Macaca mulatta: one gene and its partners. The protein of the gene in region 3 purifies or fractionates together with the protein of the main gene of each other region. This does not show direct contact. Links are inferred from orthologs where the notes say so. Each region holds a gene or a part of one and is shown on either strand. Other genes may lie near its edges. The genes, in order: ARPC1A, ARPC4, ACTR3B, ARPC2, ARPC1B and ARPC3.

Region 1 (3,500 bases), about 150 Mb from region 3:
ACAAAAATGTATAAAATGTATAACCTCATTTCTGTTAAAAATGAAAAGATATATAAGTGCTTGTTTATGTAGAGAAATTTTCTGAAAGACTACATTTTATAATGGAGGGGACAATCTTTTTTTTTTTTTTTTTTTTTTGAGACAGAGTCTCGCTCTTGTTGCCCAGGCTGGAGTGCAGTGGTGCGATCTCAGCTCACTGCAACCTCCACCTGCTGGGTTCAAGCAATTCTCCTGCCTCAGCCTCCTGGGTAGCTGGGATTACAGGTGCCTGCCACCTTGCCTGGCTAATTTTTGTACTTTTAGTAGAGACAGGGTTTTGCCGTGTTGGCCAGGCTGGTCTCAAACTCCTGACCTCAGGCAATCTGCCTGCCTTGGCCTCCCAAAGTGCTGGGATTACAGGCATGAGCCACTGTGCCTGGCCGGAGGGGATAATCTTTAAAAAAATATGTAAAACTAGCTAAAAAATGCACATTTAATCCTGTTAGGAAAAACGTATCATGTCTGAAATATCATGCTGTTTACACTGGGTGACTCTTACTGACCTGACAGGGAGTAAAGGTCACCCAGTGTGATTGATTTTTGATACTCAAGTGGCCATGTCCATCACAAAACCTTTAATGGTGAGTTTCCTTTAGCTATCAATGGAAAAGGATTCACCAGGGAAGAACAAAGATTGATAAAAGAAGAAGGATTCCAATCTTCTCTCTTCCTCCAACATATATTGAACAAAATGAACTCTGATATTTGGCCAGGTACTTTATGGCTGAGCAGACACACCACTCACAAAGAAGCCACCATAATTAGAGTCCTTCCAGCACACGGCAGAGGAAGTGGCGTCAATGGTTTTTAAGCCTTACTGAATGGAAGGCTCAAATTAATGAAGTCATTGTTTGCTGACTACCCTGAGTAAGAATATATCTCCAATGTAATTTAAGGCCGGTGAATGGTATTTACATTTTGTAAGGAGTTCAGAGTAACAGACTAAACTGGCCTTTTTTTTTTTTTTTTGAGATGGAGTCTTGCTCTCGTGCCCAGGCCGGAGTGTACTGGCATGATCTCGGTTCACTGCAATCTTCACCTCCTGGGTTCAAGCGATTCTCCTGCCTCAGCCTCCCAAGTAGCTGGGACTACAGGCACCCACCACCATGCGAGGCTAATTTTTGTATTTTTGTAGAGACGGGGTTTCACCATGTTGGCCAGGCTGCTCTCGAACTCCTGACCTCAGGTGATCCACCCACCTTGGTCTTCCAAAGTGCTGGGATTATAGGTGTGAGCCACTGTGCCCAGCGTAAACTGGCCCTTTTTAAGCGACCCTTATCAGTAGCAAACCAGGAGGGTTCTTGAAAGGAATCATTATCAGTACTTCCATTAAGAAGTACTTCTGGAACACCTAGGTCTTAAAAATTTTCCAACCCGAGAATTTGTATCTGTGCCTGTCACGGTAAAGGCTGACTTGCAGTTTTTTTTTTTTTTTTTTTGAGACAGAGTTCCGTTCTTGTCGCCCAGACTGGAGTGCAATGGCACAATCTTGGCTCACCGCAACCTCTGCTTCTTGGGTTCAAGAGATTCTCCAGCCTCAGCCTCCTGAGTAGCTGGGATTACAGGCATATGCCACCACACCTGGCAAAAAAAATTTTTGTTTTTTTGAGACAGAGTTCTGCATTTGTTGCCCAGGCTGGAATGCAATGGTGCGATCTTGGCTCACTGCAACCTCCGCCTCCCGGGTTCAAGTGATTCTCCTGACTCAGCCTCCTGAGTAGCTGGGATTACAGGCATGTGCCACCACGTCCGGCTAATTTTCTGTATTTTTAGTAGAGATAGGATTTCTCCATGTTGGTCAGGCTGGTCTCGAACTCCTAACCTCAAGTGATCCGCCTGCCTCAGCCTCCCAAAGTGCTGGGATTACAGGTGTGAGCCACTGCGGCTAATTTTTGTATTTTTAGTAGAGACAGGGTTTCACCATGTTGGCCAGGCTGGTCTTTTTTTTTTTTTTTTTTTTTTGAGACAGAGTCTCACGCTGTCGCCCAGGCTGGAGTGCAGTGGCGCGATCTCGGCTCACTGCAAGCTCCGCCTCCCGGGTTCACGCCATTCTCCTGTCTCAGCCTCCTGAGTAGCTGGGACTATAGGCGCCCGCCACCGTGCCCAGCTAAGTTTTTGTATTTTTAGTAGAGACGGGGTTTCACCCTGTTAGCCAGGATGGTCTCAATCTCCTGACCTCATGATCCGCCCGCCTTAGCCTCCCAAAGTGCTGGGATTACAGGCGTGAGCCACCGCGCCCGGCCAAGGCTGGTCTTGAACTCCTGACCTCAGGTGGTCCACCCATGGCCTACCAAAGTGCTGGGACTACAGGTGTGAGCCACTGTGCCCAGCAAGGCTAATTTTTGTATTTTTAGTAGAGACAGGGTTTCACCATGTTGGCCAGGCTGTTCTTGAATTCTTGACCTCAGGTGATCTGCCCACAGCCTATCCCAAAGTGCTGGGATTATAGGCATGAGCCACCAAGTCCAGCCTGCCTGCAGTTTTGATTGAGTTCTTTTGTTTTATTTTGTTTTGTTTTCTTTTGAGACGGAGTCTCGCTCTGTCACCCAGGCTGGAGTGCAGTGGCGTGATCTCGGCTAACTGCAACCTCCGCCTCCCAGGTTCAAGCAATTCTCTGCCTCAGCCTTCCGAGAAGCTGGGATTACAGGCGCCCACCACCACGCCTGGCTAATTTTTTATTTTTAGTAGAGACAGGGTTTCACCATCTTGGTCAGGCTGGTCTTGAACTCTTGACCTTGTGATCCACCCACCTTGGCCTCCCAAAGTTTTGGGATTACAGGCGTTAGCCTTCGCGCCCGGACTGATTGACTGACCAGGAAGGGCAGTCCTGGTTCAGCTGGTGAGAGATCCCACCCCTTGTTCCCCACCTTCCAAATGAAAGGCAAATACTCACTGCACACTTTTTGAGGCATCAGCAACAGACACGGTGCTGTCGTGGCTGACCCAGGCCAGGCGGCTCCCACTGGCAGAGAAGCTGACCCCGTGGACCCAGCCACCAGTGCCACTGCCACCAAACTCTGACATCAGCTGCCCAAAAGGCATCTTGCTGCCCCAGGGCGTGCTGGCTGGCTTTTCATCCACTTCTTTAATGTAGGCAGAAAACACTCTGTTTAAAGGGCAGAGAGAAAAGGAAAAAGCAAATGAAAAAATATATATCTAGAAACAGGCCATAGGCAGCTGCCACAAGGAATCTCAGAATGCAAAGAGGTTGACTCAATAAAAACAAAAAACATGGGCTGGGCACGGTGACTCATGCCTGTAATCCTAGCATTTTGGGAGGCCTAGGCAGGCGGATCACCTGAGGTTGGGAGTTTGAGACCAGCCTGACTAACATGGAGAAACTCTGTCTCTACTAAAAATACAAAATTAGCCAAGCGTGGTGGCCCTTGCTTGTAATCCCAGCTACTCAGGAGGCTGAGGAAGGAGAATTGCGTGAACCCAGGAGGCGGAGGTTGCAGTGA
Region 2 (3,439 bases), on a different chromosome or scaffold from region 3:
ACTAGTGAAATGAGAATGGGAAGGGCAGCTTGGAGTACAGTTGTAGACTCTGAAAGAAGCCATAGAAGACTATAAGAATTACCTCTCTGGAATGGGTCCTCATTAACAGATGGCCCAAGGTAGACCCTTGTTTCAGCTGGCAGCCAGGTCCCCCACTTCAGTGATCCTTCCGAGTACCAAACCTCACTGTCTCCTGGGAGCCTTGGAGAAATTGGAGTCAGAAGACCAGGCTACAAGGTGTTTTTGGCCTTGGGTGTCAGCTTTAGAGAAACGTTTCTCTCTTGCACTCCGCAGGCCGATGAGATCGAGAAGATTTTATGCCACAAGTTCATGCGCTTCATGATGATGCGAGCAGAGAACTTCTTTATCCTTCGAAGGAAGCCTGTGGAGGTGAGACCCTGTGACCCATGAGTTTGCGATACCCAGGACCCTGCGTATCGCAATGGCCTGGGATTGTTTCTAGAACCAGGATCAGTGCTCCTCCAGCTGTTTGGCACCCACTGCCTGAATTGACAGTTGGCCTTCATCTCAGAGTGGGAGCAAAGAGGATTAGAAACTTAGGAAAAGTTGGGTCTACCTCAGCCATAGAAAAGGTGAAAAAGGGCCGGGTGTGGTGACTCACGCCTGTAATCCTAGCACTTTGGGAGACCGAGGTGGGTGGATCACGAGGTCAGGAGTTCAAGACCAGCCTGGCCAACATGGTGCAACCTCGTCTCTACTAAAAATACAAAAATTAGCTGGGCGTTGTGGTGGGCACCTGTAATCCCAACTACTCAGGAGGCTGAGGCAGAGAACTAACTGCTTAAACCTAGGAGGCGGAGGTTGCAGTGAGCCGAGATCGTGCCACTGCACTGCAGCCTGGGCAACAGAGCAAGACTCCGTCTCAGAAAAAAAAAAGGCAGAAAAGGTAAGACATATTGCTTATTCCCAGAGCCTATAGTCTAGCATCAGAAAGAGCTCAGTGAATTAGAAATCCTTTCTAAGCTCTGCCAACTGAATCATAGTCTCTCTCTCTCTTTTTTTTTTTTTTTGGAGATGGAGTTTTGCTCTTGTTGCCCAGGCTGGAGTACAGTGGCACAATCTCACTCACTGCAGCCTCCACCTCCCAGGTCAAGCGAGTCTCCTGCCTCAGCCTCCTGAGTAGCTGGGATTACAGGCATACGCTACCACACCTGGCTAATTTTGTATTTTTAGTAGAGACAGGGTTTCATTGTGTTGGCCAGGCTGGTCTCGGAACTCCTGACCTCAGGTGATCTGCCTGCTTCGGCCTCCCAAAGTGAATCATAGTCTCTCTTTTTTTTTTTTTTTATTTTTGAGACGGAGTCTCGGAGGCTCCGTCGCCCAGGCTGGAGTGCAGTGGCGCAGTCTCAGCTCACTGCAAACTCCACCTCCCAGGTTCATGCCATCCTCCTGCCTCAGCCTCCCAAGTAGCTGGGACTACAGGTGCCTGCCACCATGCCCGGCTTATTTTTTTGTATTTTTAATAGAGACGGGGTTTCACCGTGTTAGCCAGGATGATCTTGATCTCCTGACCTCATGATCCACCTGCCTCAGCTAGGTTTACAGGCGTGAGCCACTGCGCCCAGCCTCTTTTTTCTTTCTTTTTTTTTTTTTTTTTTTTTTTTTGAGACAGAGTCTCGCTGTGTCGCACAGGCTGGAATGCAGTGGCGTGATCTTGGCTCACTGCAAGCTCCGCCTCCTGGGTTCATGCCATTCTCCTGCCTCAGCCTCCCAAGTAGCTGGGACTACAGGCGCCTGCCACCACACCTGGCTAATTTTTTGTATTTTTAGTAGAGACAGGGTTTCACCGTGTTAGCCAGGATGGTCTTGATCTCCTGACCTCGTGATCCACCCACCTCGGCCTCCCAAAGTGCTGGGATTACAGGCATAAACCACCACGCCCGGCCCACCAAATCAGTCTTTTAAAGCCACAGTTAACATTGGGTCAGTTGTTGCCTGAATTTTTACTTGAATCTTCTCCACAGACTCCTTGCCAGGTCAACTTAAAATATCCCCAGTGACTGAGCAACTACCACACAGCAGCATGTGCCATCATCAGACACGTCAGGCGTGTTGGCCAAGTTCTTCCTCATCCTGAGCCAAATTTTCTCTCCTGGTCCTAGATCTAACCTCTGGGGCCACCTGGAATAAATAAAATTGCTCTTCCTCCCACAGCCCTCCAGCAGAAAAAGACCTTAATCCCACCCATCTTCCACATCATCTCTTCTCTGAACGAAATGTTCCCTGTTGTTTGATTAGATTCTTCTGTAACAAGACTTCAAGTCCCTTGACTCATTCTCAATGCAGAGTTCTTTGTGCCACAGATAGTCTTCCAGAGATGTCTGATACACACAGAATTCTCAACTGGGTTCAGTTGCTTGGATCCAACCTAGACACCCTCTCCCCCAGAGCAGCTGGGCTGCTGACTGGAAGGGTGTGTAGCTTGGGAGAAGATCACAGCCAGTGGGAACCATGTGGATGAGTGGAGGACGTGACCAGCTTAGTTCCCCTGGGGTGCTAATTCTCTCCTGTTCCTTCTCTTCCTCCTCCCTACTGTCTTCTTCCCTAGGGATATGATATCAGCTTTCTGATCACCAACTTCCACACAGAGCAGATGTACAAACACAAGTTGGTAGACTTTGTGATCCACTTCATGGAGGAGATTGACAAGGAGATCAGTGAGATGAAGCTGTCAGTCAATGCCCGTGCCCGCATTGTGGCTGAGGAGTTCCTTAAGAATGTGAGTAGGGGCCTTTCAGCTTTCCTTCCAGAGGCCAAAGGATCTGGGGGTCATGTTGAGAACTTAGCATCTGGTGGGAAAGGGGTCCAAGCAGTGTGTTTATATCTTCTGAGCTCTCTAGGACCCCTGGGCACAGCAGGTCAGTCAGGTGCTTTGGAGCCAGAGGACCCCAAGTTCATCTCTGAGAGCTACAAGGCGTTTTCTATGTTTGGGTGTCTGGGATGTCTCCTAGTCCCTCATAGGAACTTGGACACTCATTTCTACATCTCAAGATATTCACAAAGGCCTTACCTCTATCTCATTCAAACCCCAAGCGAGGCAAGTGAAGTCTGCATGTGAATTTTCTAGGAATATAGGACAGTTAATCATGTTATAATTCCACTTCTCAAATAGACTTCAGTACTTCCCTTCAGCATGTTTCTCAGGCTTAGTCGTGATTCCTTCAACCTGTTTTCTATCACTTGCATGATATCAGTCCTCCAGATTCCTCTTACATTGTTTATGCCTTTCTAATTGAAAGCACGTAGTCATTTGAAGAGGTAGAATTGTTTACATTGATGAACTGATGACATAGTTCTTAGTTGTTTAGATATTCAGAACATGCCTTCTTTTTTTTTCTCCTTTTTCCAAACAATCTTCGGTTTGTTGATATGTTCCACCCAGAGTGGCTGTGATCTCTAGATGGTAGACTTAGTGTAT
Region 3 (3,291 bases):
AGAAGAAATACCATAAATAGCAATTTTTAAAGTAACATAATTATAAGAATTATATGAAGAGCGAAATAAACCTAAATCTATTAATTGAGCAAACTACCTTTCAAGCCAACAATCCATTCAGCAAACATCAGAGTAGTTACTGAAAGCTTACAGTCATGAATCCTGAATTTCTGGGAAAGAATATCAGAAATCATTAGTCGCTCCTTCCCACTATACCCCAGATGCCAAAACCATCTCTGACGGGTTATCCAGACCCACGATAAACCATCTCTGATGGGTTATCCAGACCCACGATAAGCCATCTCTGATGGGTTATCCAGACCCATGATACCTCTGGCCACTGCAGGGCACGCAGCCCACACCATTCAGAAAAAGACATTTCCTCCCACAAGCTGGGTATTAATCAAATCCGCCAATGATGTAAAACAATCTCAATATTCTTTGAAAGAAGCACAGCGACAGGGAGAAAAACAACAGACCACCACACTACAGCAGAAAGGTATTTATAAATATTCTAACAGCTTTTATTACAATGGTGCAAGGAAGTATTTCATCCAACACTCACCGACAACAAACCATCATCTTCTATAAAACAGTTCCAGAAAGTTCAAACAAAAAAACTAAAACATACAAGATCTGTAGTAATTCTCATACAATACTGTTTAGTGTTCAAACTTCATGTCACTCCAATAAAGTATAATCATTTTCTAGCAAACATGTGGCAAAAAAGTTTGCTGTTTTATTTGTTTGCCTATAAACATATCAGAACATGCCTCACAATTAAAAACTCTGGATCACAGCACTCCATGACATCAATATCTATTCGTGCTTAGTATCAGCCAGTTGTACCAAATACCATAAAATACAAAATGATAGGAAATATAAACATCGATTTGTATTTCAAGTTTAAACATTTTATTTACAAAAATAGGCTGGGAGGAAAAGGGTTTTGCACCCCCACATTCTCTCCCGGGGCAGAATGATTTTGCGCCATTTTCTAATGTTGTTTTCTCTAACAATTTTCAGTCACATTTGGATTCCTTCAGAATTGTATTTGTCAGCTAGCAGCTCGGAAGAGGAGGGGGCGGCGGGAGAGCGAGGGAGAGGAGGGCGGGTGAGGGAGGAGGCTGGCAGACAGCGGTCGCACACGGATAATGGCTTTTACTGAAGGGCCCGCGCCGCGCCTCATGCACCGGCAATGCAAGCACGCTGCTGGGCAGCAACACCGACGTCGCTATTTACAGAACGGCGGCCTTCTCTGGGTTCTGAAGGACACTTGTTTCCCAACGTGACACCACTGAACGACGCTTTCAGGCAGACACTAGGACATGACTCCGAAGACGGGGTTGTGGCGGCAGATGCTGGGCCCGTACTCTTCATAGTCCTTCTTGGTGTGGCAGACCTGAAAGAACTCGGGCTACGAGAGGCAACAGGCAGACAGAAAGACACACATTTCAGAAGAAAGTCAAGCACCAAGCAGGCAAGACACTCCCCTCATCCCGGCCTCCACCCTCCCTCACGGGGCCACTGCTGCAAGGTTTTACCTCTCTGATGGACGGAACTACTAAATGGGGGGCATTTCACTTTTTAGAAATTTCATCAGCCTCTATCTTCTCAGGACCAACCAAATGCTGGTCCCCCACTAACAACATGTGATAATGTGTAAGCTGTTCACAGACCCCCCACCACCACCGTGTGAGCTGTTCACAGACTTGAGGGGAAAAGTAAGAATTATTTGGAAAAGTCACTGAAATTAATGATTAATGCAGGATTTGTTTAGATTATTTTTGGATTCCACTTACCATGTTATCTGTAACCCCTAATTAGCAAGGATAAGTGATAAATGTGTTGTGTGATATATTAAGACCATAGTTTATATTGGGCCGGGCGCAGAGGCTCAGGCCTGTAATCCCAGCACTCTGCGAGGCTAAGCTGGAGGGGGGTGGATCACCTGAGGTTAGGAGTTCAAGACCAGCCTGGCCAACATGGCAAAACCCCATCTCTAAAAAACACAACCAAAAAAAATTAGCCAGGTGTGGTGGTGAACGCCTGTAGTCCCAGCTACTCAGGATGCAGAGGCAGGAGAACTGCTTAAACCTGGGAGGCAGAGGTTGCAGTGAGTTGAGATCGCGCCACTAAATTCCAGCCTGGGTGACAGAGTAAAACTCCATCTCAAAAAAAAAAAAAAAGATATAATTTATATTTTACAGAATTGTCTGTTTAGAGCCACACGATTAGGGCACACACTATTTCACCTTCAGAGACGATATTTACCCAAACTCAATAGAGAGCACAGGAATGGAAACACAGAGCCCGAGAGAGGGACTTACAGTCGAGGCCAGCATGGAGCCTCCGAACCACACGGCATAGCGCTGCATGTGATGAGTGACCACCTGGACCTCCACAGGCTTTGGCTGGAAGAGAAAGCAGCTCTCACTCCACGCGCACAGACACATCTGTGATCCAATCATCCCCCAGCTGATGAGACCACGGCTTCACCCGGGGCCGCCCTCCTCTTACTGGCACAAGCACAACCTCACACCCAGCACTCAGTGACTCTGCCCCTGCTGCCAAATCCCCCCTAAGACCCACCACAATCCCAGCCCCCAGGGCTCAAAGGAACACAGTGCGCCCGGCAAGCAGAACCTGCCTCTCACAAGGCTGAAAAAGCACAAAATCCAGGCAATTAACCGCACTGCTTTTTCTTGACCAAACGTATCAGATGTTTTAGCACCGCAGAGATCATCCCAAATAAGATTAACCATCCCCAAAATACTAAAAGAAACTGTGCTTTTCCGGCTGGGTGAGGTGGCTCATGCCTGTAATCCCAGCACTTTGGGAGGCCAATGCAGGCAGATCACGAGGTCAGGTGATGGAGACCATCCTGGCTAACACAGTGAAACCCCGTCTCCACTAAAAATACCAAAAATTAGCCAGGTGTGGTGGCGGGCACACCTTTAGTCCCAGCTACTCAGGAGGCTGAGGCAGGAGAACGGTGTGAACCTGAGAGGCGGAGCTTGCGGTGGGCCGAGATCTCGACACTGCACTCCAGCCTGGGTGGCAGAGCGAGACTCTGTCTCCAAAAAAAAAAAAAAGGAAAGGAAACTGTGCTTTTCCAACAGTGGACTCATGCGCGCTCTTCCTTGCGCCCACTGCCGCTATCGAAGCCCACTCTTGGTTAGAAGCCCACAGTGATCACCAGCTACTTAAGAATTACTATCTTGGAGAAACGCCTTGTAACTCCCTGCTAACGTTAGTTATTTTCATTTAACGAGAACGTTTCCGAAGGAA
Region 4 (3,500 bases), on a different chromosome or scaffold from region 3:
AGTCTCACTCTGTCACCCAGGCTGGAGTGCAGTGGCGCTCATAATCTGCTCACTGCAGCCTCCACCTCCCGAGTTCAAGCGATTCTCCTGCCTCTGCCTCTCAAGTGGCTGGGACTACAGATTCCTACCACCACAGCCAGCTAATTTTTTTTTTTTCCCACACTGCATCTTGCTGTGTCCCCCAAACTTGAGTGCAATGGCGCAATCTCAGCGCACTGCAACCTCTACCCCTGGGTTCAAGTGATTCTCCTGTCTCAGCCTCCCAAGTAGCTGGGATTACAGGCGTGTGCCACCACGCCAAGCTAATATTTTGTATTTTTAGTAGAGACAGTTCCACCATGTTGGCCAGGATGGTTTTGAACTCCTGACCTCCAGTGATCCACCCACCTCAGCCTCCCAAAGTGCTAGGTTAACAGGCTTGAGCCACCGTGCCCGGCCTTGACTGAATATTTGATATTAAGAAATTGTTTTTAAAAATTTAGGCATGACACTTGTATCATGGTTATGTTTTTTAACAGTCTTCTGTATCTTCCAAAGATACATTCTGAAGTATTTATGGATGAAATTATGTGTCGTGTCTGGGATTTGCTTCAAAATAAATCAATGGGAAGGAGGATGTCTAAATGAAACAATAATTACCCATGTGTTAATAATTGTTGAGGCCGGGCGAGGTGGTTCACGCCTGTAATCCCAGCACTTTGGGCGGCCGAGGTGGGCAGATCATGAGGTCAGGAGTTCAAGACCAGCCTGGCCAACATAGTGAAACCCTGTCTGCACTAAAAATACAAAAATTAGCCGGGTGTGGTAGCACATGCTGTAGTCCCAGCTACTCGGGAGGCTGAGGCAGGAGAATCTCTTGAACCCGGGAGGCAGAGGTTGCAGTGAGCCGAGATCATGCCGTTGCACTCCAGCCTGGGTAACAGAGTAAGACTCTGTCTCAAAAAAAAAAAAAAAAAAAAGTTGAAGCCTCATGGTGGAGATGGGAGTTCATTATACTGTTTGTTCTGATTGTATACATGTAAAATCCAATTATTTCAGCACCAAGCTGTGATTAAGGAAAGAATAGCTTTGTAATTTTAAGAAAGGGCAAAGAGATGAGTACTCAGCAATTCTATCCCAGTGTTTCTGCTGATTTGTCACATGGATTTAAAATAAATTCCGTTTTACTTATATGCCTCCTTGTAACAGGTCTTCCTTGTGGCCTACAGCAAGGTAGGCGCTTGGAGAGATTATTTCCCATTTCCAAATTGTTATACGATCTTACTTGCTTTCCTCACAGATTTTGATGGGGTCCTCTATCATATTTCAAATCCTAATGGAGACAAAACAAAAGTGATGGTCAGTATTTCTTTGAAATTCTACAAGGAACTTCAGGCACATGGTGCTGATGAGGTAAGGTCCACATCATTTTCCGTAGGACTCTTGTTTCCTCACCTTTTATTGGCAGTTTGCCATTCATGGAAGATCCATGGCACTAAATCACCCCCGCATGACTACTTGCTCACCTAACTAGGGGCTCTTGACTTGATTACTATAATGAATTAAGTGTGTCTCTAGAAAAGGTTTTGACTCTTTCTTGCTTGCTTTAAAACAATGGAAACGAAAACAACTTTAGTTCTCCAAAAACATAGCAAAGAATACTTTTCCTTGATCAGGACAAAAATAGCTGTTGCAAGAATTAGGTTCTGTCCTATTTTTGTAATATTATCAAGGCAAATAGATAATTTCTAGCTTGTTTAAATTTTATTGTCTCAGGTTCTCATTCTGGAAGCTTAGGCACAAATAGCTGTCTTTTGAAATTTTTAATTAAAGCTCTTTAAAGCTACCCTCTTTAAATATCTCTTCTTTATAACTGCCATAGGGGAAATAAGAAAGGACGTCCAGACATTATGAAACTTCGGTGGCCATGCCTTGTTCACTGGCTTCTTTAAATAGTTAAGTAGCAGGTTTGGTTCCTGTTGAACTGTATTTGCTCTGGGGAGAACCATTTATGGAAGAAAGAAAATGCTATTACACCAGTTTGTGCACGTTGTGGTTGGGTCTCAAAGCAGGAAATATGACTCAGTTCCTGAATCAGTTTTCAAATTTCTTAGTTTTAACAAACTAGGTTCTCCTTAATCTGTTAAATGAAGATATAATCGTAGCTGTTTTCTTTTTGAAAAGTAGTAGCTTTTAAATTATTTAAAATTTATATAATAAAAGATGATTTGTAAAGGAATATGGTCAAAAGCTTGTTTAATTTTTTAGCATAAAAACTGAAGTTGGTCTTACTTAATACCAAGAGCGATCAGTTACTTCCCTTAGTTATTCAAATGCAATTGATTTTCTCATAAGTTCAAAGAAAGAAGAAACATTTAGAGAATTTGGAATCCTGGTTACTTTACTGGAAAAAGAAAAGCTTCAGAAAGATCTAGTGCTTTTATAAAGCTTTTGAAGAATTGTTTTGTAAAAGATAGTGGCTGACACTTCTTTACCAGATAAAGAGCGAAAGAAAACAAATGGCTATTAAAGCAGCCCTGCCTTTTTTTTTTTTTTTTTTTTTGAGATTGAGTCTCCCTCTGTTGCCCAGGCTGGACTGCAGTAGTGCTGTCTCGGCTCACTGCAGCCTCTGCCTCCTGGATTCAAGCATTCATCTGCCTCAGCCTCTTGAGCAGCTGGGATTACAGGCAAGCACCACTACACCTGGCTAATTTTTTGTGTTTTTCATAGAGATGGGGTTTCACCACGTTGGCCAGACTATTCTCGAACTACTGACATCAGGTGATCTGCCTGCCTCGACCTCCCAAAGTGCTAAGATTGCAAGTGTGAGCCACTGTGCCCAGCCCTTTTTTTTTTTTTTTTTTTTAAACAAGGTCTTGCTCTGTCACCTAGGCTGGAGTGCAGTGGCACAATCACAGCTACTGCACCCTCAACTTCACAGGCTCAAGCAGTCCTCTCACCTCAGCCTCTTGAGTGGCTGGGACTACAGGCACGTGCCACCACACCTAGCTTATTTTTTGTTTTGTTTTGTTTTATAGACAGGAGGTTTCACTATGTTGCCCAGGCTAGTCTCGAACTCCTGGGCTCAAGCAATCCTCCTTCCTGGGCCTCCCAAAGTGCTGGTATTATAGATGTGAGCCACCACGTCCAGCTGCAGCCCTGCTTTGAATTAGCTATAACTACCTGATAAGAAGTGTCACAGTATTTGAACAGACGTTTTTTAAATTGTGTAATCATTCTCCCCTAGACAGTCTTCACTAGGTGCGAGCCTGCGCAGTGGCATGCACCTGTAGTGCCAACTACTTGGGGGTTCAAGTGGGGAGGATCGCTGGAGCCCAGGAGCTCAAGTCCAGCCTGGACAACATAGTGAGATTCCATCTCAAAAAAGGGAAAAGATCTAAATGCAATAATAATAATCCTGAAAAGAAAGAGTTAAGCTAGATTTCTTATATCTCCTTTCCATTCTGTGCTTTTCTTACAATGGAGCTCCAGAACACATTGCTATTCTTCTAGCCACCACA
Region 5 (3,500 bases), about 150 Mb from region 3:
GGCCCAGAGAGGAGAGGATGGACTCCCCAGGGGTCATGGGAACAGGGGTCCCGACATCCCATTTGGTGCTTCCCGGGGAAACTCTAGTCCTGCCCCCAGGTCCCTACCAGCCCACTCCAGCCCCGCCCAGGTACCCACCAGTCGTTCTCCTGCTCGAAATAACAGATGGAGATGACACGGGAGCCGCTGCCCACAGCAAACTTGTTCTCATTGGGGGCCCAGCGCACGCAGCGGGCGGCCCGGTTGATCCGCAGGATGACCAGAGTGGGCTTCCACGTGCGGCCCTTCAGCGTCCACACGTAGGCATTGCGGTCTGTGCCGCAGGTCACAATACGGTTACTCTCGGGGGCCCAGTCGATGCCTGTGGGGGGATGGAGGGGACACAGGAGGCTGACGACACTCAGGCAGGGGTGGCTCTATGGTGGCCACACAGGAGAGGCTGAAAGGCCACAATCAAGGTGGAAGCTTTATCTGCCCAGTAGGCACTTTTTTTTTTTCTCTTTGAAATGGAGTCTCACTCTGTCACCCAGGCTGGAATGCAGTGGCATGAGCTCGGCTCATTGCAACCTCTGCCTCCCAGGTTCAAGCAATCCTTGTGCCTCAGCCTCCTGAGTAGCTGGGACTACAGGTGTGTACCACCAATCTTTCTCTTTTTTTTTGACATGGCGTCTCATTCAGCCGCCCAGGCTGGCGTGCAGTGGCGTGATCTCAGCTTACTGCAACCACCATCTCCCGGGTTCAAGCGATTCTCACATCTCAGCCGCCCAAGTAGCTGGGATTACAGGCACCCACCATCATGTCTGGCTAATTTTTGTATTTTAGTAGAGATGGGGTTTCACCATGTTGACCAGGCTGGTCTTGAACTCCTGACCTCAGGTGATCCGCCTGCCTCAGCCTCACAAAGTGCTGGGATTACAGGTGTGAGCCTCCGCACCCAGCCTCTTTCTTTCTTTCTTTCTTTGTTTTTATTGAGACACAGTTTTGCTGTGTCGCCCAGGATGGAGTGCAGTGGTGTGAACTCAGCTGACTTCAACCTCTGCCTCCTGGGTTCAAGCGATTCTCCTGCCTCAGCCTCTGGAGTATCTGGGACTACAGGTGTGTGCCACCACACCAGGCTAACTTTTGTATTTTTCAACATTTTGTCATGTTGGCCAGGATGGTCTCGAACTCCTGAACTCAAGCGATCCACTCTCCTTGGCTTCCCAAAGTGCTGGGATTACAGGCATGAGCCACCACACCCGGCCCAGCAAGCACTTTTTACTGAGATCCAGTGCTTATTTAGAGTGACACCAGGGGGCACTCCTAGAGCTTATGAGGGAGTGTCAGAGCCCTCCATGCTATCAGTAAACATGCTGGAGGGCAAAGCCAAGAGGCAGAAAAGATGGGTTCTTGGTCATGTGGAGCTGCTGGATCAAGCCTCTCCTGAAGCCCTCAACCCTCTTGGGTTTTTTGGTAACATGAGGCAACACAGTCCCCTTAAAATTGAAGCCAGTTTGAATCAGGGTTTCACAGTGAGTGGGTAGATGCCCCATAATGAGTGGCCATGTCCTGCCTTGCACCCCACCCCCCACCTCCTTTCAGGAGGGTAGTCCCAGCCACCCTGACATACCTGTCACCTGCCCGTTGTGTTCCTTGAGCTCGTGCACCTTGGTCCATTTGGCACCGCTCTTTTCGTAGATGTGCACCTCATGGTTGTTGGGGCAGATGGCAATCTCTGCAGGGGAGATGGAGGGAGACTGAGGGGCCCTCTCCATGACTGCCCTCTGCCAGGACACACTACACAGTGCACCTGGGCAACAGCCTCATCCTTCATGACTCAGGCTCTCCTCCTCTGCCTTGGAGGGGGCCCCCTGAAGTCCTTCAGGCCCTGCCAGTTCACCCTCTCTTCTCCTGGGACTGACTGTCCTTTACTCGCAGCAATGACCCCTGGGACCTCTCCCCACCCTATCGCTCTGGCCAGCCAGGGTCCCCTCGCTGCTCCTGCTGACACCTCAGGGCCCCTGCACCTGCCAGCCCCTCCCCAGCTGGGGCAGAGTTCCCTCCCTCTCCTCCTCTGGGTGTCTGTGTAAATGTCAAAATGTCATCTCCTCCAAAAGGCTTTTCCTGGCCACTTTTTCTTTCTTTTTTTTTTTTTTTTTTTGAGACAGAGTCTTGCTTTGTCACCCAGGCTGGAGTGCAGTGGTGCAATCTCGGCTCACTGCGACCTCCGCCTCCCGGGTTCAAGTGATTCTCCTGCCTCAGCCTCCCCAGTAGCTGGGTTTACGGGCGCATGCCTCCACGCCCAGCTAATTTTTGCATTTTTAGTAGAGACAAGGTTTCACCATGTTGGCCAGGCTGGTCTGGAACTCCTGACCTCAAGTGATCCACCCACCTCAGCCTCCCAAAGTGCTGGGATTACAGGCGTGAGCCACTGCACCTGGCCCATTCCCTCCTTAAACTTTAACCCAGGAGACCCCTGGTCAGCTGGAAGACCCAGGGGTGAGGCCCGGGGACAGCCGCATGGAGCCTATGGTCCGGGGGCCTGGCTGCTCCAGTCTCCCCATCCCAGGAGGTAGAAGCAGCCACCCACCGACCCCCAGCAAGCACTCACGGCTGCGGTCCTTGTTCCAGGCGTGGCAGCTGATGGGCTCCACCAGGAAGCTGTGGTAGGCCATGGCGGCTTGGCTCCTGTGCCCAAGAAAGGAAGAGAGAATCCACGTCAGCCCTGACCTTGCCCCTGACTTTACCCGGATACCAGGCCCCAGCTGATCCTCAAGGGCCTCACACCAGGGAGGCCCCTCAGTCTAGAGAGGCAGCTGTTTGCAGAGACGAGCAGCAGGGGCCAGCCCTGGCTCCTAACTGGCCTGACATGTTGCTTCCCCTCCTGGGGCCTCAGTTTCCCTCCTTATAAAAGGGCAGCTTTCACGGGATATCTCTGAGGCTCCAGAGACAGAGTGGAGGAGATAGTACTACAGGGGAGATGCTCCCTGGGGCGGGGTGGGGTGCTAGGACTCCAAGCCGGACAGGCCCCTCACTTGTCACCTGTGCCTCAGTTTCCTCACAGGATGGACCCCCCCCAACTTCCCTGCCCCATTAAGGATGGGATGAAGATGAAGTCATCCAGGCCAGGCCTGGTGGCTCATGTTTGTAATCCCAGCACCTTGGGAGATCGAGGTGGGTGGATCACTTGCAGCCAGGAGTTCAAGACCAGCCTGGCCAACATGGTGAAACCCTGTCTTTACTAAAAATACAAAAAATTAGCCGGGTGTGGTGGCGGGCACCTGTAGTCCCAGCTACTCGGGAGGCTGAGGCAGGAGAATGGTGTGAACTCGGGAGGCGGGGCTTGCAGTAAGCCAAGATCGCACCACTGCACTCCAGCCTGGGCCACAAAGCAGACTCCATCTCAAAAAAAAAAAAAAAAAAAAAAAATTAGCCAGGTGTCGTGGCACCTGCCTGTAATACGCACTACTCAGGAGGCTCGGTGACACGGTAAGACTCATCTCAGGAAAAAAAAAAAAAAA
Region 6 (4,273 bases), on a different chromosome or scaffold from region 3:
ACACTTTGGGAGGCCGAGGCTGACAGATCACAAGGCCAAAAGATAGAGACCATCCAGACCAACATGGTGAAACCCCATCTCTACTAAAAATACAAAAATTAGCCGGGTGTGGTAGCACATGCCTGTATTCCCAGCTACTTGGGAGGCTGAGGCACGAGAATTACCTGAACACAGGAGGCAGAGGTTGCAGTGAGCCGAGATCGCACCACTGCACTTCAGCCTGGTACAGAGCGAGACTCCATCTCAAACAAACCAACCAACCAACCAACCCAGGGTGAATCCAGGGTGCTCTATGTGCAACTGGAGCCAGTACAGGGCTTTAGAGTCCTTTTTTTTTGGAGACAGAGTCTCCTCTCACCCAGGCTGGAGTACAGTGGCATGATCACAGCTCACTGCAGCCTCAAACTCCTGGCTCCAGGTGATCCTCCCACCTCAGCCTCTTGAGAGGCTGGGAGGAGATGCACTACCACATCCAGTTAATTTATTCTTATTTTTGTAGAGGCAGGGTCTCATTATGTTGCCCAGGTTGGTCTCAAACTCCTGGGCTCAAGTGATCCTCCCATCTTGGCCTCCTAAAGTGTTGGGATTACAGGCATAAGCCACTGTACCCAGCCTAGAGTCCTGGCTTAAAATCTGGTTTTACCATTAGTAGGCAACTTTGTCCAAATTAACTTCTCTGAGGTTCCGTTTCCTCTTCTGTAAAATAGGAATCATGGTACCTACTTCACAGGGTCATTATGAGGATTAGATGGGATAATTTATAAAGTGTGTACCCCAGAGCTCAGGAGTCAAATGGTAATTACGGAATTCATAAAATATGTATTTGTGAGGCTGAATGAGGTGGCTCACGCCTGTAATCCCAACACTCAGGGAGGTCGAGGCAGGAGGACTGCTTGAGCCCAGAAGTTTGAGACCAGCCTGGGCAACATGGTGAGACCCTGTCTCTACTGAAAATAGAAAAACTTAGCTGGGCGTGGTGATGTACACCTGTAGTCTCAGCTGCTCAGGAGGCTGAGGTGGGAGGATCACCTGAGCCAAGTTTGTGTCACTGCACTGCAGTCTCAGAGACGGGGTGTAACCCTGTCTCAAAAAAAAAAAAAAAAAAAAATCTATCTATATATATCTATATATATATGTATTTGCAACTATGGCTTGCTCCTTTTCATCACAAGTATACTTTATGTAAAGCACCCTCTGCCTTCCCTTTCACCAAACTGTCTTGTTACCTATCTAGTTTCTTTTTTTTGGAGTGGGGGGGTCAGAGTCTCACTCTGTGGCCAGGCTGGAGTGCAGTGGCACAGTCTTGGCTCACTGCAACCTCCACCTCCTGGGTTCAAGCGATTCTCCTGCCTCAGCCTCCCAAGTAGCTGGGATTACAGGCACGCGCCACTACGCCCAGCTAATTTTTTTATTTTTAGTAGAGATGGAGTTTCACCATGTTGGCCAGGCTGGTCTTGAACTCCTGACCTCGTGATCCATCCGCCTAGGCCTCCCAAAGTGCTGGGATTACAGGCGTGAGCCACCGCGCCTGGCCATCCATCTAGCTTCTTTATAGCATTTGTCACTACCTGACACTACTGTATGTATCTCCTTTATGTTTACACTTTTATTGTCTCGTCTCCCGATTTGAACGTACACTGTTTAAGATTAGGGATTTGTTGAACTTATTTGCTGCTGTAAATAGAGCCTGGCAGGCAGTAGGTGCTCGGTAACGTTTGTTAAAAATAATGTGTGAGCAGGCTGGGCGCGGTGGCTCATGTCTATAATCCCATCACTTTGGGAGGCCGAGGGGGCGGATCACCTGAGGTCTGGAGTTCCAGCCCAGCCCAGCCAACATGGTGAAACCCCCGTCCCTACTAAAATGCAAAAAATTAGCTGGGCGTGGTGGCGCGCGCCTGTAATCCCAGCTACCCAGGAGGCTGAGGCACGAGGACTGCTTGAACCAAGGTGGCGGAGGTTGTAGTGAGCCGAGATCGCCTCACTGCACTCCAGCCTGGACGACAGAACGAGACTCTCTCAAAAAACAAAAAAAGTGTGAACAATCACACAATAACCGAACCACCTTTTCCCGAATCTGCAAAATGGAGACCATGATGGTGATAAATCTAGCCCACAGACTGCCTGTCAGAAATTAAGTACAACCAGACCGTCATAGATTTTTACTCCCACTCTGATGCACACGAAAAAGGAAATCTTTGGAAGTCAGGCGCCGACCGAGTCTGTGAGGGCCCTATACCCAGGTGGCTCCGGGGTGGCCGCCGCTGCCGGGAAGTGGGTTCTGACAAATGACAAACAGCAGAGGGAGCCTGCCCCCCGGGGCGGAGGAGGAAGTGGGCCTCACAGAAAAAGGAGAAGCTAGACCCTGGACTTGAAATATGAAAAATAAAAAGGGCAACCCTTGGCTTCGCGCTGTAGTGACGCTTTGGGAACCCTGCCGGAGCCGGAAGGAGTAGACGGAGAGAGAGAGAAGAGGGCCTCCTCACACACCCTGGACCCCTGGACCCCGGGCCCACTCCTGCCGCGCCCCCGCCTCCCACGACTGGCACCCGCGGGCTGTCCCAATTCTTCAGCGACCGGTCCCCTCCCCTCGCCTCACTCCTTCTCGGGCCCCCGCTTCCTCTCTGCCTTCCGCCGCCCGCTTCTCTCGGCACACACAAGGTTTCTCCCCGCTTTTCGCAATCCCCGCTGTCTCCCCACACCATGGATCGAACCCTCACCGGCATCTTGGCAGCACCCGGGTTCCAACCCAGAGGAGCAGAATCCAGGTAGAGCAGAGCGCTTCCGGTCTTGCAGCCCGGGCGGGGTAGGCGGAAGCGAAACGGAAGGGGCGGGGTGATGACGTGAGCTTCCGGCTTTGTAGTTCCGCCTCTGGTTGCAGCGGCCGCGCGGATCTGAAAGGGGGCGCCAGAGCGCTAGGTAGGGGCCCTCAGAGTGGCGCAGCGTGAGGCGCGCGCAGAATGGAGATGGGTCTTGAGGTTCCAGAATCTTCGATCAATCACCTCTTTTGTGTTTTTTTCAAATTTCACCTTTTCAGGGCCGGGCATAGTGGCTCATGCCTGTAATCCCAGCACTTTGGGAGGCCGAGGCGGGTGGATTACCTGAAGTCAGGAGTCCGAGACCAGCCTGGATGGTGAAATCTCGTCTCTACTAAAAATACAAAACTTAGCTGGGCGTGGTAGCATCCCAGCTACTCGGGAGGCTGAGGCAGAATAATCGCTTGAACCTGGGAGGCGGAGTTTGCGGTGAGCCAAGATCGTGCCGCTGCACTCTAGCCTGGGTGAGAGTGTGACTCTATCTTAAACAAACAAACAAAACACCTTTCCTGTGAAGCCGCCTCTGGTCATTCTGTTTTCAATTCACCCGACTCCAGCCCCATGCCTTATCCTTCTCTCCCGCTTTTTCCCTTAGTTCTTATGATTCTTGTATTTAGTTTACTCTTAGTGCTTGTCTCCCTATCCTTGTAAATGCCAGACAGCACTTCGCCCGTTTTGTCCCCTGGCGCCTGTAACAGTGATGGTATGTAGGAAACATCAGTATTTGAGTAAATGAATGAACCCAATGCACTGCATCTAAAAATGGAGAAACTGAAGGGCACTGGAATCTGAATCGCAGCTTCAATACATACTAGCTCTATAATTTTGAGCAAGTTAACTTGCCTCTGTACTTCAGTTCCTCACCTGAAAATGGTTGTAACAATATTTACCTCATAATTTTGTGACGATGAAATGAATTACATGTAAAATGCTTAGAACTTACATGCTTGGAGCATACCGAAAGCCCAGGAGTTTTTAACCTATTTATTACTAGAAAACTTACGTTAAAAGTCAAGTTCATTGCTACCTGAGAGCCATTTCTTCTGCCAGTTCGCAGCCTGGAATAGAGCCCCATGTTCCCACATCTGATTTCGCATTCAGGTGACTGGGCAAATAGCACCTTTTAGGCAAGGTCTTTTTTGACAAAGAGCCCAAAGTAGCCCCATAGTCACTCTCCATTTCTTTTCTGCTTTCTGTTCTTTCCATCCTCTCTCCGAGGTTCAGTCTCACAGCCCAGCATGACAGCCCCACGTGAGCAAAGCGCTGCCTGCACTGTGAGTCCCTGTTCTATCCCCAGTACCTGGCATCCATAGAACTTCAGTAAATTTGTGTAAAGAATCATGTCAGCCCTGCCTATGAGACAGTGAAATCCTCGAGGACTGGAATTGTCAGATTCATCTTTGAAACCCTAGTGTCCAGTGGGGAAGGCACTGGAATCGGGTCCTTCACTTTTTCTCCAC

The links.
Region 1: the proteins of ACTR3B (region 3) and ARPC1A purify together in Homo sapiens (affinity purification with mass spectrometry; 5 studies listed by BioGRID and IntAct, counting the BioPlex papers as one, with this or other methods). This does not show direct contact. The link is inferred for Macaca mulatta from reciprocal best matches to the Homo sapiens genes ACTR3B and ARPC1A.
Region 2: the proteins of ACTR3B (region 3) and ARPC4 purify together in Homo sapiens (affinity purification with mass spectrometry; 5 studies listed by BioGRID and IntAct, counting the BioPlex papers as one, with this or other methods). This does not show direct contact. The link is inferred for Macaca mulatta from reciprocal best matches to the Homo sapiens genes ACTR3B and ARPC4.
Region 4: the proteins of ACTR3B (region 3) and ARPC2 purify together in Homo sapiens (affinity purification with mass spectrometry; 6 studies listed by BioGRID and IntAct, counting the BioPlex papers as one, with this or other methods). This does not show direct contact. The link is inferred for Macaca mulatta from reciprocal best matches to the Homo sapiens genes ACTR3B and ARPC2.
Region 5: the proteins of ACTR3B (region 3) and ARPC1B purify together in Homo sapiens (affinity purification with mass spectrometry; 5 studies listed by BioGRID and IntAct, counting the BioPlex papers as one, with this or other methods). This does not show direct contact. The link is inferred for Macaca mulatta from reciprocal best matches to the Homo sapiens genes ACTR3B and ARPC1B.
Region 6: the proteins of ACTR3B (region 3) and ARPC3 purify together in Homo sapiens (affinity purification with mass spectrometry; 6 studies listed by BioGRID and IntAct, counting the BioPlex papers as one, with this or other methods). This does not show direct contact. The link is inferred for Macaca mulatta from reciprocal best matches to the Homo sapiens genes ACTR3B and ARPC3.

Annotation. Positions count from the first base shown.
Region 1 is NC_133408.1:46,586,768-46,590,267, reverse strand, and holds part of ARPC1A (actin-related protein 2/3 complex subunit 1A), read right to left. Parts: intron 3,146-3,500; coding exon 2,933-3,145; intron 1-2,932. UniProt on the Homo sapiens protein: Probably functions as a component of the Arp2/3 complex which is involved in regulation of actin polymerization and together with an activating nucleation-promoting factor (NPF) mediates the formation of branched actin networks.
Region 2 is NC_133407.1:148,589,266-148,592,704, forward strand, and holds part of ARPC4 (actin-related protein 2/3 complex subunit 4), read left to right. Parts: intron 1-294; coding exon 295-390; intron 391-2,569; coding exon 2,570-2,740; intron 2,741-3,439. UniProt on the Homo sapiens protein: Actin-binding component of the Arp2/3 complex, a multiprotein complex that mediates actin polymerization upon stimulation by nucleation-promoting factor (NPF).
Region 3 is NC_133408.1:192,281,514-192,284,804, reverse strand, and holds the end of ACTR3B (actin-related protein 3B), read right to left. Parts: intron 2,415-3,291; coding exon 2,331-2,414; intron 1,418-2,330; coding exon 1,322-1,417; 3' UTR 501-1,321; downstream 1-500. UniProt on the Homo sapiens protein: Plays a role in the organization of the actin cytoskeleton.
Region 4 is NC_133417.1:123,440,737-123,444,236, forward strand, and holds part of ARPC2 (actin-related protein 2/3 complex subunit 2), read left to right. Parts: intron 1-1,279; coding exon 1,280-1,392; intron 1,393-3,500. UniProt on the Homo sapiens protein: Actin-binding component of the Arp2/3 complex, a multiprotein complex that mediates actin polymerization upon stimulation by nucleation-promoting factor (NPF).
Region 5 is NC_133408.1:46,617,962-46,621,461, reverse strand, and holds part of ARPC1B (actin-related protein 2/3 complex subunit 1B), read right to left. Parts: intron 2,668-3,500; 5' UTR 2,655-2,667; coding exon 2,591-2,654; exon of another isoform or gene 2,566-2,590; intron 1,764-2,565; exon of another isoform or gene 1,755-1,763; coding exon of another isoform or gene 1,715-1,754; coding exon 1,610-1,714; intron 362-1,609; coding exon 139-361; intron 1-138. UniProt on the Homo sapiens protein: Component of the Arp2/3 complex, a multiprotein complex that mediates actin polymerization upon stimulation by nucleation-promoting factor (NPF).
Region 6 is NC_133416.1:117,616,724-117,620,996, forward strand, and holds the start of ARPC3 (actin-related protein 2/3 complex subunit 3), read right to left. Parts: upstream 2,801-4,273; 5' UTR 2,724-2,800; coding exon 2,718-2,723; intron 1-2,717. UniProt on the Homo sapiens protein: Component of the Arp2/3 complex, a multiprotein complex that mediates actin polymerization upon stimulation by nucleation-promoting factor (NPF).